2 linked regions of the Drosophila melanogaster genome follow. The gene in region 1 interacts genetically with each later gene. Each region holds a gene or a part of one and is shown on either strand. Other genes may lie near its edges. The genes, in order: Paics and tok.

What was found.
Region 2: of Paics (region 1) and tok, changing one suppresses a phenotype caused by changing the other (phenotypic suppression), as found in Drosophila melanogaster (one study listed by BioGRID).

The regions. Positions count from the first base shown.
Region 1 is NC_004354.4:12,754,549-12,763,854, reverse strand, and holds Paics (PAICS bifunctional enzyme), read left to right. Parts: upstream 1-3,237; 5' UTR 3,238-3,481; coding exon 3,482-3,506; intron 3,507-3,939; coding exon 3,940-4,143; intron 4,144-4,247; coding exon 4,248-4,392; intron 4,393-4,819; coding exon 4,820-4,932; intron 4,933-5,000; coding exon 5,001-5,803; 3' UTR 5,804-6,095; downstream 6,096-9,306. Other genes in the region: pira (pirate), read left to right, coding at 512-2,557. UniProt on the Drosophila melanogaster protein: Bifunctional phosphoribosylaminoimidazole carboxylase and phosphoribosylaminoimidazole succinocarboxamide synthetase catalyzing two reactions of the de novo purine biosynthetic pathway.
Region 2 is NT_033777.3:24,715,878-24,724,896, forward strand, and holds the start of tok (tolkin), read left to right. Parts: upstream 1-3,819; 5' UTR 3,820-3,862; intron 3,863-4,179; exon of another isoform or gene 4,180-4,343; intron 4,344-9,019. Other genes in the region: CG13627 (uncharacterized protein), read left to right, coding at 1-1,208, 1,270-1,431; Polr2L (RNA polymerase II, I and III subunit L), read left to right, coding at 1,741-1,835, 1,919-2,027; CG13630 (uncharacterized protein), read right to left, coding at 2,153-2,385, 2,444-3,181, 3,251-3,404.

The sequences.
Region 1 (9,306 bases):
TACCACATGTAAGAATACTAATACTTGTAAATGAAAAGCAAAGAACTTAGCTTAGCTAAGATTCGCTTAAATGCCTATATTTCGTCAGTTCAAATATTATTTAATTTCAATATTCGCAACATTCAAATTTCAAAGCGGACTATCGATACATATTTTTAAAAACACCCCACAAAATCCATACCAATTGGAAACATATACATATGTATCGATATGAGCAGCAAAACTCCGATGGCGATAGCAACTCGCACAGATGATTTTTGGATACAGCACTTGGGACGCCGTTTACCCCAACAATAAAAATAGACAGATATCAAATATCGCATAAAACACACAGATTGGAAAATGAAAGGAATATAGTGATCAAAGTCACCGTGTTAGGTGACTCTTCAACCATCCAGTTAACTTTGCACATCAAGCAGCCCGAGAATTTGCAATCGAAACGAGAAACTTCAGTTCAGTCAGATCAGCCCATATAACGTACATATGTTATACTATTGAATCCGGCTCCAAAATGGATCGCAAAGAAACTGTTTCGAAGGACCAAGCGGTACGTCGAATTGCCCATAATGACTTTATATTAGTCTCACGTCAATTGCTGATCAATCGAGCCGACACGGATCCGGACAAAGGAAGTGCCAGGATGTTGATTATCTACAGCAGTGGAAAGCAGCACATCGTCACCTTCAAGCTGCCGAATCTTGCGTGTAGGGTGCAGGATCTGTTTTTCCAAATGGACCTTCAGATCGATGAGAGCACCACGATTGATTGCATTGAGAATGCCGGCGGTATTATCCATTTGGTTGTCTCTGTGGGCTTCCCCATCAGTGATAACATTGCCGAGACGGTTGCCCATGCGGAGGAGTTCTATAGGAAGGTGCATCAGTCAAAGGCATCATCGGCTGATGCCGCTCCACCCAATGCGATGGCCGGTGAAGAGCACTCCCCTGCGGTTGTCAAACCATCAGAGACTGCGGTGGCCAACAATGGTTGCCAGCCAGCTGCAAGTGCAACCAAAGGCAAGAAGCACAAGAAAAGTCCTTGCGGGAGTCCGGGAGAAAACAATGATGGCCAAGTGATATTGTCGGCGGATCAAGACGCCAATACTAATACCAAGGCCAAGAAACAGAAGAAGTGCCATATTGCAAAGGATAACAATGGAATTCAAGCTGCTAGTTCTCATGACAACCCTAGTTCATCTGGCAATAAACAGGGAAGTCACAACTCCACGGCTATAACCTCCAATTCTACAATGACGAGTAATGGTCTTCGGGGCGTGCAACCAGCTGAAGATGCTCCCGCAATCTCCCAGTGGATCCAGTCGAGGAACAATGCCGCTGTTAGCAAGAAATCGGAAGAGACAGCTGGTGGATCTCAATCGCGGGTGCAATCGAATGTTGCATCCATATCCTCGCCAGCGGTGAAAGCAACTAGCGACGCTGCTATACCCACACCAGCAGAACGCGCAGAGCGTAGTCGCCTGCGCCGAAATCGCAATTGGATACTAAGCAGGGACGTTGATGAAGATGCCGTGGTGCTGGTGAGCAGCGGTGATGAGGAGACCACCGCCGCCGATGATGGCCAAACCGAGAGAAGACTTTCACCCGATGAGAATCAAACCCTTTTCACATATCCGCCAACTGGTACCGGTGGCCTGAGCATCACCATCAAGGACTTTATGTGTCTCAGTAAAGGATCGTATCTGAACGATATAATCATTGATTTTTATCTGCGCTGGCTAAAGAATAACATCATACCAGAGGAACAGCGCGATAGGACGCATATCTTTAGCACGTTTTTCCACAAAAGATTGACCACACGAACGAATCCCAGAAATACGAAGCAGACGGCGGCCCAGAAGCGTCACGAAAGGGTTGAGAAGTGGACACGAAACGTCAATATATTCGACAAGGACTTCATTATAATACCATTCAATGAGCAGTCCCATTGGATACTGGCCATTATATGTTATCCAAACCTTAGAAGCCCGGTGGTAAACAATAATAATGTGCAGACGACACTCAGTGATGATATTCCCATCAAACAGCCGTTGATACTTATTTTCGATTCGTTGGCAGTCACCTCAAGACATCGAGCGATTGCCATATTGCGGGATTATCTCACCTGTGAGCACAAGGCCAAGTATCCGAATGCGCTGGCGCATGTCTTTAACAAGGATAATATGCCCGGTCATAGTGTGGAGGTGCCGCAACAGCAGAATCTTACAGATTGCGGCCTCTATCTGCTGCAATATGTGGAGCAATTCTTCACAAAACCCATCAACGACTATACACTGCCCATTAAGGAGCTGAGCAATTGGTTTGACCTGCTCACAGTAACCAAGAAGCGTGAGGATATCGCTAATCTCATCAAGAAGCTTATGAATGAAAGCAATCAGCAGCGCAAAATTTTGCCGGTCATTAAGTTTCCGACATTAAATGGCCAACTGGTGATGGATGAGGAGGATAGCGAGGAGGAGAATTCTAAAGAGGAGCATAAAACTACGTTGGTTTGTTCAAAAGACAGAAAACCGCCGAGGAGAAGGAATACACTCAAATAAACCACTTGTGAGAGAAGTGAAAATACATATATTTTCTACAAAACAACTGAACTGAAGACGATCGCAACGCAATGCTTTGGAACACTAGGAGGAGCAAATTGACACGGCGGAGATGGGTTCACCAGAAATATACGTTTTTTCCCTCAAGGAAAAGTTTCATACACACATACAATCACCAAAAAGAGCAGTTCAGCCAACAAGACGATAAAGAGGCTACCTACTGGAGAGATAGAGACAGAGACAAAGACAGAGATCAGGATCACAGGATGAGCATGTTAGGCAGGACGAGGTGGATGTCAGGAGTTGGAGAATGGACAAAAATCAAGAAAAATTCAAAATTCAGAAAGTCACCAAATGAATAGAAAATATTTTAGAAACAAAATTTGTAAATAAAATGCGACAATAAAATTTGTCACGCATAAGCAAAGCTTTATAGATTGCCAAAAAATGTACATATGTATGTATGTACATAAGTACATAAGTTGCCCCGCGCGGTGTTCATCGGCCATTTGGGAAACTGCAGGGTATTACCAATCAGCATTATACTCGACTCTAAGCCCACACACACACCCACACGCAAGCACACACACGCGAGCGCAAACACATGGATCTCTTTGCATTGGTGTTGGGGTTCGGCGATAAGAAAATCGAGCCATAAAGTCGCGCCGGCGATTCTATAGACGCTCAGTTGCTTTGGAGCGATTCTTTGATGCAGACGAACATCGGAGTTTGCGGATTGTAATAATAGAGCCAAGCGGAGAGAGCGAAAAAGACAGAGAGAGAGATAGAGAGCGAGAGCGAGAGGGAAGGCACCAGCGAATATCGAGCATAAAGCAAAGCCCGCAACACGTGAAACAGCCAGCAGCCAATTGATTTCAATTTCGATTCTTAAAGTGAAGTGACCAACAACGTGCGATTAACGAGATGTCCACCACCACAACAGCATCCAGTAAGTTTATCCATCGCCAAGGTTTCCAAATAAACAATTGTTGTGCCTAGAACGTAAATAGTACCAAAGCTACCATCTTTTATTCGATCTTTCATCAATAAAAGACAAGCTTAATGTGATGGAAAGCAAGACAGTTGTTTATGTTTTCCCGCCAGCCTTGGATTTATTTAAACAGTTATTCGGGTTACTCAAAAAAATAAAACAACGGAATATTTTCCTGGTTCTGATAATATTTTAATGCTGTTTATTGAGCTGTCTGCTGTAAACAAGAAGGCTGGCTTTCCATTGTTTAAATCAAGATAATTGTGGATTTCGTAAACAAGTTGTCTTTCCATTCCTTAAATCAGTATCATCATATATCATATAGCATCGATTCTAAATACTAACTAAACACCGAACGTAACGAATGCAACTGCAACTTGAATTTCCACAGTAGAGGGCTATAAGCTCGGCAAGGTCATCATCGAGGGCAAAACCAAACAGGTGTACGATCTGCCAGAGCAGCCAGGACTTTGCCTGCTCCTCAGCAAGGATCGCATCACCGCCGGCGATGGTGTCAAAGCACATGATCTGGCCGGCAAGGCGGAGATCTCCAATACCACCAACGGTCAGGTCTTCCGGCTGCTCAACGAGGCAGGTGAGTTGCTAAACCATATAAGTCAAATCAACTATAATGCATTTTAGTCAATTTCTAACCAAATTGATCAATTAATTAATTAATTAATGCTTCTTATTCGACAGGCATTCGCACCGCCTATGTGAAGCAGTGCGGCGCCAAGGCCTTCATCGCCCGCAAGTGCCAGATGATACCCATTGAGTGGGTGACCCGTCGCCTGGCCACCGGTTCGTTCCTCAAGCGCAATGTCGGCGTGCCCGAGGGCTACAGGTTGGTAAACAGCCAATGGCTGGCTGTGGGTTATCACCCCATTCGATTTGTTGCGATCTGTGTGTTATCTGTGTCCGCTTGCGGTAAACAAATTCAAATGCAATCGATGCACTGCAGCAGGGTCAACAATCGCTGATAAGATTGATCGTTTGTGAACTCAAAGCCCACGAAATCTGTAATTCAAGTCAAGATTTTCGCCAGGGCAATGCTGCTGAGATGCTATGTGTAAATTCGTTTCATTTGATGTCGTCATACCAAGGCAATAGCTCTTTTTTATGGCTTTGATTGCCAACAAGTTCGCCTCTTTGAGTTACTGTAGAATATATATTATACTAGAAGTAATACAAATGTCACTTGATATTTAATTTATTCATCTATTTGCCTCAATTTGCTGCCTTATTACTACAATTACATTTGCATTGCGCAGGTTCTCGCCGCCCAAACAGGAGACGTTCTTCAAGGATGATGCCAACCACGATCCCCAGTGGAGCGAGGAGCAAATTGTCTCCGCCAAGTTCGAGCTAAATGGCCTGGTGATCGGTGGGTACTTGCGGCATAAAGCACTTTTACATATACAAATCTAAAACTGGCAACATGTTTTTCTTTAGGCCAAGATGAGGTGGACATTATGCGTAGAACCACACTGCTGGTCTTCGAGATTCTCGAGAGGGCATGGCAGACCAAGAATTGCGCCCTGATCGACATGAAAGTGGAGTTCGGTATCTGCGACGATGGCAACATAGTTCTGGCCGATATCATTGATTCCGATTCGTGGCGCTTGTGGCCAGCGGGTGACAAGCGTTTGATGGTCGACAAGCAGGTGTATCGCAATCTGGCATCGGTGACGGCCAGCGATTTGGATACCGTAAAGAGGAACTTCATTTGGGTGGCCGAACAACTGGCTGATATTGTGCCCAAGAAGGATCACCTGGTTGTCATTCTGATGGGCAGTGCTTCCGATATATCGCACAGCGAGAAGATAGCCACCAGCTGTCGATCCCTCGGCCTTAATGTGGAACTTCGCGTGAGTTCGGCCCACAAGGGACCGGAGGAAACGTTGCGCATTGTCCGCGAATATGAATCGGTGATGAGCAACTTGATCTTTGTGGCCGTCGCCGGGCGATCCAATGGACTGGGTCCAGTCGTTTCCGGCAGCACCAACTATCCGGTAATCAATTGTCCGCCCGTCAAATCGGACAACATGCAGGTGGACGTGTGGTCCAGCTTGAATCTGCCATCGGGGCTGGGCTGTGCCACAGTTCTCTATCCAGAGGCAGCTGCTCTGCATGCGGCCACCATTCTGGGGCTGGGCAACTTCATGGTCTGGTCGAAATTGCGTGTCAAGGCGCTCAACAACTTTATCACTCTCAAGAAGGCCGACAAGGAGTTGCGCGGCGTGCGAAATGCTTAGTTGCTGGTTATCATAGCTTATGGTGGGAGATATCAGCATTGGATATCAACCAGGAGGCCATATATAGAGAATCCTTCCCTGATCATTGCCGTTCGGCGATCATCCAGGGATCCCATAAAGGTCATCATCAGATCACATACTTTGTTAATTCTTCTTTCTCCTATTTTTTTTTTTTTGAAACCAAACATTTTTTTATTAGTATTAGGAAAGCATGACTTCAACTTGTTGTACCACGTTCTTGACAGGTTACGAACTCGAAATAACAAAAAATAAAAATTACATTTTAAATGTTACGCACTTTGAGCTGAATTTTTTATAAATATAAAAGAAATATAGCATGGATTACACGTAAATGTGATTGAATGTTTCTCCATTTTTGGAGTAAAAACATTCCCTTTCTTGGACGCAACTTTAAAAATAATTGTCTGAGTATGGAATGCCATATCTCGTCGAGCTCGTAATTAAATTTCCAATTCAACTGTGTCCAAAAATTGTATTTCTATTTTTTTGCCATTTTTTGTAAATTTACCTTACCAAAATATGCAAAAATTGGTCAAAAAATAAATTTTTCTAAATCCTTGAAAAGGTGATAGGGATTGTTAGCATTGGTAATTAGCTGCTCAAAACAGTTATTCTTTTGACTTTGTGTTGATTTTGAGCAACGTTTAGAAGAAATCTGCATTCGTTCCCTAGCCAATTTTTAAATTGATTTAGTTTGAATTTAGAACCGACAATAAGTTTTTTTTTGTTTATTTTTGCCAATTTTTAGTTCAAACTAATTAGTAGCATACTTTTGGGCTGAGACGATGACGATTTGAATGACTAAACTGTTGCACTTTTTAAACGTGATTCTTGGCTCTATTAAACAAAACAAAAAACGGGAATTAGCCATGTGTATAGTTTATATATTAAAATAGCATCTAGAATGCTAAAAAAAATGTATTAAAAACCACGTTTGGAGAAAAGAGAAATTGTAGATAAATTTCCAAAAAATGTAAATAAAAGAGTTATTTATCAAATGTAAACCAATGAACTTTATTTTCATTTTAAATATAGCTATGTTTAGCTTAATTGTCTTGAAAAATTTACATTAATAAAACTAGGTATATATATTAAATATAGTAATATATGTACATAATTGATAAAGGCCAATTTAGTTATGCAAATTAAACTGCTAATAGCAGTAAACTACTAATGATGTTGAACCTACAATACATGTATGTACATATGTATATATATGCCCCTTGGGAAAATCATATGGATACCTTGTGGTAGAGGGGATTGGGAGGCGTGGAGACGGGGAGACGGGGAGTACTGAGACCGGGAAAATATGTGCTAAAGTGCGCCGGCCACCGCAGGTCAATTAATCATACTTTAGTGTTTAGCAGACAACACCACAAAAATACAAACACAAGCACAAGCACAAACACAAACAACGAAGCACAATTCATAATAATAACAATAATTTAGCATAAGAGAAGCGGGACGGGTGAAGGGTGCGAGTGAGACGGCGAATGTACACATTAAAAGTCAGGGTCAAAGTGTGGCCATTGTGTTTTGCCTCTCCCTCTGGCGCACCAACCGAAACACCACCCCCCGCCGCCTGCCACACCCCGCTCACAAGTGTCTGCTGTTGTTGGAAACAACAATAAGCAATAAGAAATATGAATGGCAAAGCAAATGTAACAAAATGTTGAGAAAACTAAGGAAAACACAAAAAAGACAAGAGCTTGGTTCATAAGAAAATACCCTGCCATTTTAGCTTTTGGGATATTGCGTTTCAGAAATTCAGATATAGTCAAACTGAATTAACATTAATATTAATAAGTATATATCTTAATATACATATTTAAAGTTTTTAAGCGAAGCGAGCAACTAGTGTATACAGTAGATAATTATAAAAAAAAGTTTTTAGATACAAAAACTTGCCTAAAAACGCTTGTTTAGAGCTAAGAAAACGAAAAATTATCAAAATAGAATAACTTCTTTTATAAAACATAAAGCTAGCAAAAAATTACTTACGCGGGAACCTCGACCTAACCTCAATTTGAGTGCCAGCACTAAGAGGTTCAGTTCTTTAAACTATGCAGGTTGAACCCGCGTCCATATTCGAGCATGCCCTTTTCTTTTGGGGCTAAAATGTGAGTGACTGCGACGTTGGGGTCCCAGCTACAACAAAACAACTGCAAATACAACGACAACAATGGCCGGCAATTGTTTTGCGGCGTCGCCTCTGCCGCTGCCGCTGCCTCTGTTGCTGCTTTGCCGACGTCAATGACGCAGCGCTATGTTTGCGGTGGCTATTGCTATTGTGGCATCCGTCTACGCCACCCCCCTCTCAACCAATTCCACATCGACCGCAAGGGGTTTCTTTGTTGTACATATTTCTTGTTTCTGTTTGCCGATTCGGTTTTCTTCTTTCTTTCTTTTTGTTTTTGCGAATAAAAACTGTTTTGTTACAAGCGCGAATGCCGATCGCAGTCGATCGCTCTACACGTTTTCATTATAATTTTACTGTTTCACATCTCGCTCCCACCCGCTGCCATCTCCCTCGCACTCTGCCGGCTACAGGCCACATTCATTAATTTCAATTTGCAATATTTTCTTTAATATGCATATTCTATATTTCAAACGATATTGAACCGATGCCCAAAAGAGGACCATTCAGTTTCCAAAAATAAACATTCTTCAACATTTAAATAAACATTTAAAGTCGAACAATATACATACATATGTAAGTTCGATTTTGCGAGGCCCCACTGTACCCATTTGGCGAGGCAACTCTTTCAACTTGTTGCTAAAAATATGCAAGACAGTAAAAGGAAACCGGTTCCCCCCCCCCTTCCGAACCATACACACGCACATGTACGTACTTTATGTATGTGTGGATATGGCTATATGTATATATGTGTGTACATATAACTGGTTGTTGCTGGGTGCCGAGCCACTGACCGAAGTGTTGGTTGCGGGGGGAGGGAGCGAGGGTTTTGCTACGGGGTGCTGTGCGGTGGAACTGGAACTGTGACTTGATTATTCAGTCGGCACAAGAAACAAGCCGATCGGTGCACACACAAAGACCAGAGTAAAATGGCAAAAACAACATTGTTAACCAACTACATGCAAAACACCAACACGTAATACAAGATCGTAAAGCGGTTTCTACATACATACATACATACATACATACATACATATGTATGTAATATGGGTACAGTGGGGCCTCGCAAAATCGAACTTACATATGTATGTATATTGTTCGACTTTAAATGTTTATTTAAATGTTGAAGAATGTTTATTTTTGGAAACTGAATGGTCCTCTTTTGGGCATATGTATGTATGTATGTATATATCGGGAATTGGCAGGGGGGACGGGCGCATGGGGCTAAGGATGGGGCAGATTACGCGCGCAAAACCGGCAAGCCGATGAAACTGTGGACACCGCACTAGAGGTCAAAACATAGAAGTGGATTATAATCGGTTAAAAAAAATATTTATTTAATTTT
Region 2 (9,019 bases), on another chromosome or scaffold:
CCTCAGCCCGTCCCCAGACATATTTGCCACCGAAGTACAGTGTGCATGAGGACGAGACCAATGACCAAACCATTCGTGATCCCATTTCGGGTTCGCAGAAACTCTTTGCCCCAGATCCGGATCCCTCGCTGCCCACCACCAAGATTCGCCCCGCCACCGAATCTTTCAATACGCCCAGCAACAACAAACCGCTGCCCGCCGACGTCCAGAGTAACCATCTGCCAGCCCAGCCATTGGTTCAGATTGTGGGAGCCCAGACGGCAGCCCAAACGGCGCCAGAGATCTATCCCATTCAGTATGCCCAGCCGGCGGTTCACTCCCAGTCCTTTATCGCCGCCATTCCGGCTGCCCACATTCCCATCTATAATCCCACCTACCTGGTGACGCAGTCCAACCAACTGTACTCGGCCCACAAGCAGCAGCTTTTCAAGCCCAGCTCGGAACCGGTGGTGGAAACGGGTTACGTGAACGCCGATCTCACCCAGGAGGTAGCCAGCAATGGACAGATACTGCAGGCAGCCAAGGATCCACATCACAACATCCATCCTGTACTTGATTCGGCGCCACAATATGCTGCTCTTATTGCCGCTCCGGCACTGGGTGATCCCAATGAGGGTGCCTACGAGACGGCCTCCTTCCACCTGCCCAATGTGGCGTCAGCGGTCACTGCCTCCGTTCCGGAAGGTGGCTTCGTGGTGTCCAACTTCTATGGCCATGCCCACGACTCTTCCCAATTGCTGCAGGCCTACGCAGAGGAGGAGGCACGTCGACAGCAACTGGAAACAGAGCAAGCCGCCATTGAGCTGCAAAAGCAGCAGCAGTTGCATCTGGAGGAGCTTAAGGCGCAGGCCCAGGAGCAACAGCAGCAGCATCAGCTGCATCTGGAGGAGCTGAGGGCTCAGGCGCAGTACCAGCAGCAGCAACAGCAGCAGTTCGAGGAACTGCAGGCACAGGCACAGGAGCAACACTTGCAGCAGCAACACCAGCAGCATCAGTTGCAGCTCTTGCAATTGCAGCAGCAGCAACAGCAGTTGCAGCAACCAGTGCAGCACCATCCGCCGCAGCAGCTGCAACAGCAGCAGCAGCAGCAGGTGGCTCAGGATCCAGCAGCAAGTGCATTCGAGGAGCACCAGCGATTGGTGCAGCAGCAACTTGGCGCCAACACGCCACTTCGCATCTTTGTGCCCGACGAGGAGGCCGCCGAATCGGTAGGTAAAATTAGACAAGAAATTCTTCCGTATGCTAACATTTGAGACTTTCCTTGTATAGCGACTGCAAAAGAGATCGGATGATGTGAAAAAGGGCACGGTGGAGGATGTGTCCAGTGCGGGTCGGAACGACGGCGACAGCGAGGAGTCAGCCAAAGATTTGTTCGAGGTATCCACCTCCGTCGAAGTGGCCGGCGAGCATCTCACGGCCAGCAGTAATTAGTTAACGCACTTTTAGTCTTCGACGCTGTTCAAAAATATTTATTTACACACTCATTTGTAAAAAACGCATTCATGTAGCGAGCAGTCGGTAGTTAATAAAAATAACCATTAATTTATTCAAATATTCGTTAGCGTTCTTTTTGAATGGATATAAGTTTTTGTGTTATCGATACATTGTAATGCTGGTGAGATAAAAATACAACTGCACTCTGGTCACACTCATGACAAGTAAAAACACATTTTACCAAAAACATTGTTGTGATTGCACATTTTTCGTGATTTAACTAAGAATTAGAGCCTGATCTACAAAATGATTATTCCAATCCGTTGTTTCACCTGCGGCAAGGTCATTGGCAACAAGTGGGAGTCGTATTTGGGTCTCCTGCAAGCGGAATACACCGAAGGGTAAGTCACGCGGGAAAGTCTCCTTTCCACGCCGCATTTCATCATATAATATATATATATTATATCTTACAATCCAATCCCAGAGATGCCCTGGATGCTTTGGGTCTAAAGAGGTACTGCTGCCGTCGCATGCTCCTGGGCCACGTGGATCTTATCGAAAAACTGCTCAACTATGCTCCTCTGGAGAAGTGAACGGCACAATGGAAACCATCCAAACTGGACTTGGGAATAAAAACTCTAGATTTTATTGTAAAATTACAAATTAAAGCTTGATCGATAGCCCTAGAAGTTATGTATTAGCCCAAGTTGGTCGACCCTCACATCTTGTCCATGAACCACGGCTGTCCGTTGTTCTCGCGACGCTTGGTGAGAATCTCGCATCCGGTTTCGTTGACCAGCAGTGTCTGCTCAAACTGGGCGGAGTACAGGCCATCGGCGGTCACAGCAGTCCAGTCATCTGGCCAGGTTTCAGCCTTCTGGACGCCAACGGAGATCATGGGCTCGATGGTGAAGCAGTGGCCAGGGGCCATTACTCCTACGGCAGAGTTTTCTGCAAAGTAAGGACATTAATAATATTCAAAGTACTTTTAGCCAGCTCGAAAACTTACTGGCATAGTGAGGCACATTGGGAGCTGTGTGGAAAACACGGTGAATGCCATGACCGCAATAGCTGCGCACCACGCTGAATCCATGTGGTGCCACATACTTTTGGATCACGTTGCCAATATCGCGATACTTTTCACCCGGACGCACGAACTCAATGGCCTTGCTGAGCGCCTCGTGGGTGACCTGCACCAGTTTCTTGTGCTTCTCCGAGACATTGCCCACAAAGAAGGTCTCGTTGAGATCACCATGGAAGCCGCGATGATAGACGGTCACATCGATGTTACATAGATCTCCATCCTGTAGAGGACGCTGATCGGGGATGCCGTGGCAAATCACCTCGTTGACCGATGTGCAACAGGACTTGGGGAAGTTGTAGTAGTTGAGGGGCGACGGATAGCACTCCCGTTCGATGGCGGCCTCGTGGACCAAACGATCCAGTTCGTCGGTGGTGATGCCCACCTCCACGGCTTTGGCACCCTCATCCAAGCATTCTCGACCCAATCTGCCGGCCACTCGCATGCCCTCGATCTCCTCGTCGTCCAGCACCTTAATCTTGGTGCCCCGCAGTGCTTCCTCCGAGAGTGAACGTCCTGCTGGATGATCGGCGTAATCTGGACGTTGTATGGCGTTCGGAACTGTTCGCTTGGGAGTCTGTGGGAACGGGCGGAGCTTGCCGGTGAAGCGGAAATGTGGCCATGGATTGTAGGCTCCATCCTGTTCGGCAGAGTTCGAGGCACCGGCTGAGTCAAGAGAATTATATGGTTTCATTGCAATCCAACTCATTAGGAACAAGACTTTCTAAAACTGACCTGCTAAAGCATGAATCGCCTTGTGCTCCTTCCAGAATCCTTTGAAGCACGGCTGCGAGCAGAAAAATGAGCCCTTGATGCCCAACTTTAGGCAGGTGGGACACTGCAGGGTCGCATCCTTGCCGCAGTTGGTTGTCTCGCACTTTTGAGTCATTCTATTTCAACAATTAATGCGAGAAAAATTTCCGTGCCTGCCAAAAATAGTTTAACACAGCGTGACCGCACCGATAACGATAGAAAATACCTGGAAGCTTTAAAATAAATACCTTTTTATACCATTATATGACAATATATAAGCAATATGGCTTTTTGGGAAATTTGCCTTACGCTTCAAGCAAAATCATAATTCTATTGGTTTGATATTAAATACTGTTTTCTGATTAAACATTAAAAAAGTTGATATTAAATAAATACCAAATCAATGTTTAAGAATGGCGCTACATCGATATCCGATGTTTTCCAAGCACCGATAGCCTGGGACCAGTTCTGTTCTTATCGATACGTTTGTGCCAGGGTTGTTCGTCGCCGGCTGTAACGGGCATTAGTTTAAAATTGGAAATAACTTGATAACCATTTTATGTGTATTTAACCATTTAAAATGTTACTATTATGGTAAGTGATTCGTAAATAGTATTCATATGATAATTAACATAAGAAAAGAGTTAATAAGGGCTTTCCTTACAAATGGTTTAAAATCGTTCGAAATTTGAAAGTAAACAAATTAAATATGTAAGTTCTTCGCGGAGATCTTTGATCTGGCTAAGGGACACTGGCCCCGTGAATTCGTGGCCTTTGTTTTCGTCCGTCGGGGCGGCAGTTCAAACGCAGCCGCCTGTTGGGCACTTTTCCGCAGTTGTTCTCGGCGCATGCTCTTGGTGGGAACAGTTTGGACTTGGACTCGGTTTATCTGTCTGCTCTGTTTATGTTCTCAAATCGCGAGCAACTTCGGTCGTGAACGGACGTGCTTTCGCTGTAAACTCGGAATCGGTGTCGCGAAACAAAAGAATATTGGCAACAAACTTGTTTGAGTCAAATGGCCAAACGCAAATATCCGCAAAGGGCAGCAGGATAAATTTATTGGCCAGTGAAGTGAGTGAGTGTCTTGTTTCGAATTGGTTTGGCCAAAAAAAAAAGAGGACCCCTTTAATATTTCTACCTGCAAGGGATGCTGAGATTTCGGCAGAGTTTCGCATCATTTGCGAGCGCAACTTAACTAACTCAACAAGTGAATTCAAGGGTTTTCGCTCCTCCAATTACTGATTTTGTCCTCGTGATCTTCGTACTCGATTGAAATTCGATTACGATCGTTTTGTGTGTGTGCATTGAAATCAGCGTTATCAGTGTCTGCCCTGATCTTTGGTTTTGCGTTGAACATGTTTATTATTATTCATTTCTCTGGTTTCCCGCGCCCAACGACAATAAGTTAAGTAAACACGCTGTTTTTGTTGAGGATGCTGCTGCTGCTGTCTGTTGTCGTTGCTGCTGTATATGTTGCTGCTGCATGTGTTACAGCTGTTTCCATAGTTGCTGTTGCTGCTGTCACATGTGTTGCTACTGTCTCTTGTGCTGCTGCTGTTTCCAAAGCGGCTGCTGATGTCAATGTTGCTGCTGCTATCGCGTATGTTGCTGCAACTTTTTTAGTTACCGCTGTTGCTGCAATCTCATATGTTGCTGCTGTTTCTATGGCTGAAGGTGTTGCTTCTTTGTTGCTGCTGTTGCTGCTGATAGGAGCGCAGCATTCGAATGGCTATAAATAAAAAACGGCACGCGGTGTGTGCAGCAGTGAGAATCCCCCGGCCCGTCTCCGCCGGATTTTCAGCACCACCAGCATCGCTTGATTATTATTGGTGGGTGTTCTGCGTTTTACGCGACCACACACAGGCACACTGCCACACACACACTATTATCTTCGCCGTGCGGTTTCCACTTTTCCGCTTTTCATTCCGTCGTTAAGACGCAGCACATATCTCGTCAATTGGCAATCTAAAGGCCGCCGGCATAATTAAAATAGAATCATTTCTGATTTCGCTTTGTGTCGCACAGACATGTGTGTCTTATTTTGTTTGTTTGTTTTTTCTTTTTTTTTTGCAATACGGAACAATTGCGAAAGTCAAGGTGGCCGCGAAAAGCCGCGAAATAGTAGGGAATTCCTATGCGATGGCAACGAACTCGATCTCTGTGTACCCAACTCATCTTGTCTGGCCTTTTATTGATTTATTTTTTCCCCGGCAGTCAGTCTACTCTTTTTTTATGTTCCCCTTTGTTTTGACCAACGATCCTCGATCTTCGACGGCAATTAAAGGCAGGCCAAAATGGTCCAGGAAGGCAGACATCAGCCTTAATTTGCTTTGGTTGCATTGCCTGCTCGTCTTCGGAACTTTTTCATATGCTGCGCAGTGCGTACTTTGTTTGTTTGTGTGCCAGCCGAATGGAAGCTGATGGAAATTTATGCGTAGAGAAAGGTGGAAGAATATGAAATGGAAAATATGAAATTTTTGAATTGAGTTTGTGGAGGAGTGGGGGGGGGGGGCTGGGGCGGTACACCTAACACTTCCGGTTGCCAGAATATCAACTTCCGGTGGCGTAGAATTGTTAGCGGGGAAATGCTTTGGCACAAAAGACGCATATTGATATTGTTGCCCAGGCTGCTTACGCTCCAATAAGCACACCCACACACACACATAGGCAGACATACAGACGGGAAGGTCCTTCGTCCTTGGGAGCCAGAAAACGCATTTCATTTTTGCTCCAGTGAGTTGGCCCTTGTCTGGCAAACGTTTTGTGGCAACTTGGCCATTAAGCATTTCGTGTTTAAGCAGCAGGATCTTTCCCTCGCCCTTCCCTCTCAGGACGAAGGACCAACAGGACAGTACAGCAAGGAATAAAAATTGCCCGCGTATGCATTTCTTAACAACATTTCTCCACCACCCTCCCCCTTCGCTCCCCAGCGACAACATTTCATTTCATATTTTGTGGCAGCAGCGCTTTGAATAGAATTCATTTGGATTCCCTTTCCCAGGACACCTCGTCCACTTCCTTTTGCCTTTGTCAGCCCCTGGGTTTCCGCATCCCACATCCCAGAACCCAGATCTTCCACATCCCTCATCTTCCTGGAACACGCACTTCAGACTGATAGCGCCTGCTTAACAAATTTCTGCTGTATTTTTCGGTTCTTGTTCTCCACTTTATTATATTCCGTCTTCTTCTTTTTTTGCCATGGCAATGGGGATTTTTCCGCATTTTTAGCTGTCGCAGCAGGGTAAAAATTAAAAGCGAATTAAGTTCGAGGAGCTGTGGAGGCATCTAAAAGGTATCTAAAAGGTGGACAGCCGAAGATAACTGCACTTGACGCCGGATAGACCACAGGCATTATTAAACCCCAAATTTACCTGCCAACCAGGCGGGGTGGCAAATCTGCAAAAGAGATTTGAGTTATTTTATGGATATTACTAAGTATTCTGTATCTGCTACAGCAGCCATGAATTGGGGGGCTTTTTGGAAAGGGTCTTTATTACACATAACAAAAAAATTTATAAAAATATAGGTCTCTATATTCTTCAAATGGCTCAATCATAGTTATTTACTATTAACTTGCGAAAAATACCCAAAAGTTCCTGTCCTTTTATACATCTTGCACGTTATTAGTTTGCTCGCTGAATTTTCTCAGTGTAAGATCCCATGAAATACAAATATTTTTCCCTATGTAGGCACAACAGCTGACACCATCCTGCTAACAAGCAGCCGTCGCATCCACATCCTCCTCCAAAGTCCTCGAGAACAGGAGCACCCTGCCATTGAAAGTGTCACCCCAAGCTACTTCTTCTGTATTTTTACTTCATCTTTTGCCACGCCACTTTTTCTGCACCCCCTTCCCTCCGAATCACTTGGTTTCTTCCCAATTTCGGTTGCTATAAAGCAAAGTTAATGATATGTCGCAAGTGCTTGTTTGTCTGCCTGACTGGGGATGAGTGTGGGTGAGTGGCTCCACTTCCAGTTGGCTGAATACTGTCGTCGTTGCTGTGGCCCCATTCCATGTGTAATTAATTAAAGACTAAGCAGATTTTATATTTCACTTACTTGCTTGAGACTAATTTATGAGTATTTCCACTTTTTGTCATATTTCAAAGTCTGCACGATAGACTAATTGGGTAGTTCAGTAGTGGTAGTGAAACGGGAAATCTTGAGGCATTCTTAAGGGTCAAGGATATCTTATAGATTTGCCTCGTTGCAAAGCTATTCATTGAGCTCTCAATGGCTTCGATTGCCTTGGCCGTGGTTTCGCCACTTTTTAGTTGGCCAAAGCCCAACTTGGGCCACAAACTTTTCACTGGCCGTCAGTTTTCTCGGATCGTTTTCACTTGCACGCATTTACAAGCAAGAAGTTAAGTCGCCAGTTTGCTCAACGGGGGGCATTTTCTCGCTGGAATTTGTTGGCCCAGTCGCCCTTTTTTATTTGCCAAATTAAAAGGATTTCACTCGCTTTTCATATTTGCATTGGGGGAGCTGCTTTACGCTTTTATTCTTTTCATATTTTATCGCCGGCCTGCCAGGCCTTGTAGCCCATTGCCAACAATTTTCCCACGCAATCACCATAAAAAGAAATCTTTGCCGCCATATTTCTGTAGGATGCCTGCTCCTCTGTTGGTTTCTCTCTGGCAATTGTTATTCATGACCCGAAATAACAGCAGGGTGGCTGCAGGGATGATGATGAAATGAGATGGGTTACGCTGTACTGGGATGCCAAGGTGAGGCGCATCCCTGGTCTCCAATGGGCCGTGTTGGGTACTGATTCCTCTGGCCACACAACGCTCGTCATTCGTCGTTGTTAGTATTAATTATTTCTTAACTTTAGTGCCGGTTCCTGCTAGCACGGTTTATAAATAAAGCGCAGGCCCTTCACGGCATCGCTGGGCCTCAGTTCATCCTGCTGCTCCGGCGACCACTGGTTATTTGCATCGACCTTCGTCCTGTTTCTGTTGCAGATTATGACCCCAAAAGTGGGAGGGTGGCTGTCTATCTGTCTGCGGGGTATTTTATGGCTGAACTTTATTTACATTCACATGCCGAGCTGCTAAATAATCAGGACTCGACCCGACCACCCGCTCATTTCGTTTGTACTGTGCTGCAGGATACAGCAGCCAGGAGCCAGTGGCCAGGATATACGGATGTACCGCCTGAAGGAAGAAGGGTGTGGGCATTGGGAAGTGGGTGGGTGGGTTTTTGGCCATGGTCTGAACCGGCGTACAAGGGCCACAGGTGCCAGGCAGCCAAGTTTAATTATTTGCCGTTGGCTTTGGATTCGTTCTGGTTCTGGTCCTGCCCTTTGGGGTCCTCATCCTCTCGGTGCCCTGGCCTCTGGCCTGCTATCCCCCTCCGTCATGCCATCATCCCATCTGGTTGTCTGTTTGTTTGCTTGTTTGTTGTTAGTTCAGTCGCCTCGCTGCATTTTGCGCTTGTGAAGCATTTTAAATCGCATAAAAGTCGGCCGCAGCAGAAGCAGAAGGATCCTCTGAGCCCCCGGGCTGGTCACCCCATTCATTATACCATTTCGGCTGGCCTAGCCTTTGCGTCTGTAATTGAAATTAAGTTGTTGCCAAATTGAGGCTCGTAGTCCTGCTGCTCCGCCCACTTGTTAGCCAAGTCGTGGTCTGCATTTCGATGTCCTTGAGTGCTGCCGAAAATGGTCCAGAAATGCGAAAAGTCGCAAAGTGCTTGGCACTGAGCTAAACAACAACTCTGTTTGCCCGCAGTCATGCTGAATCCTTCTTT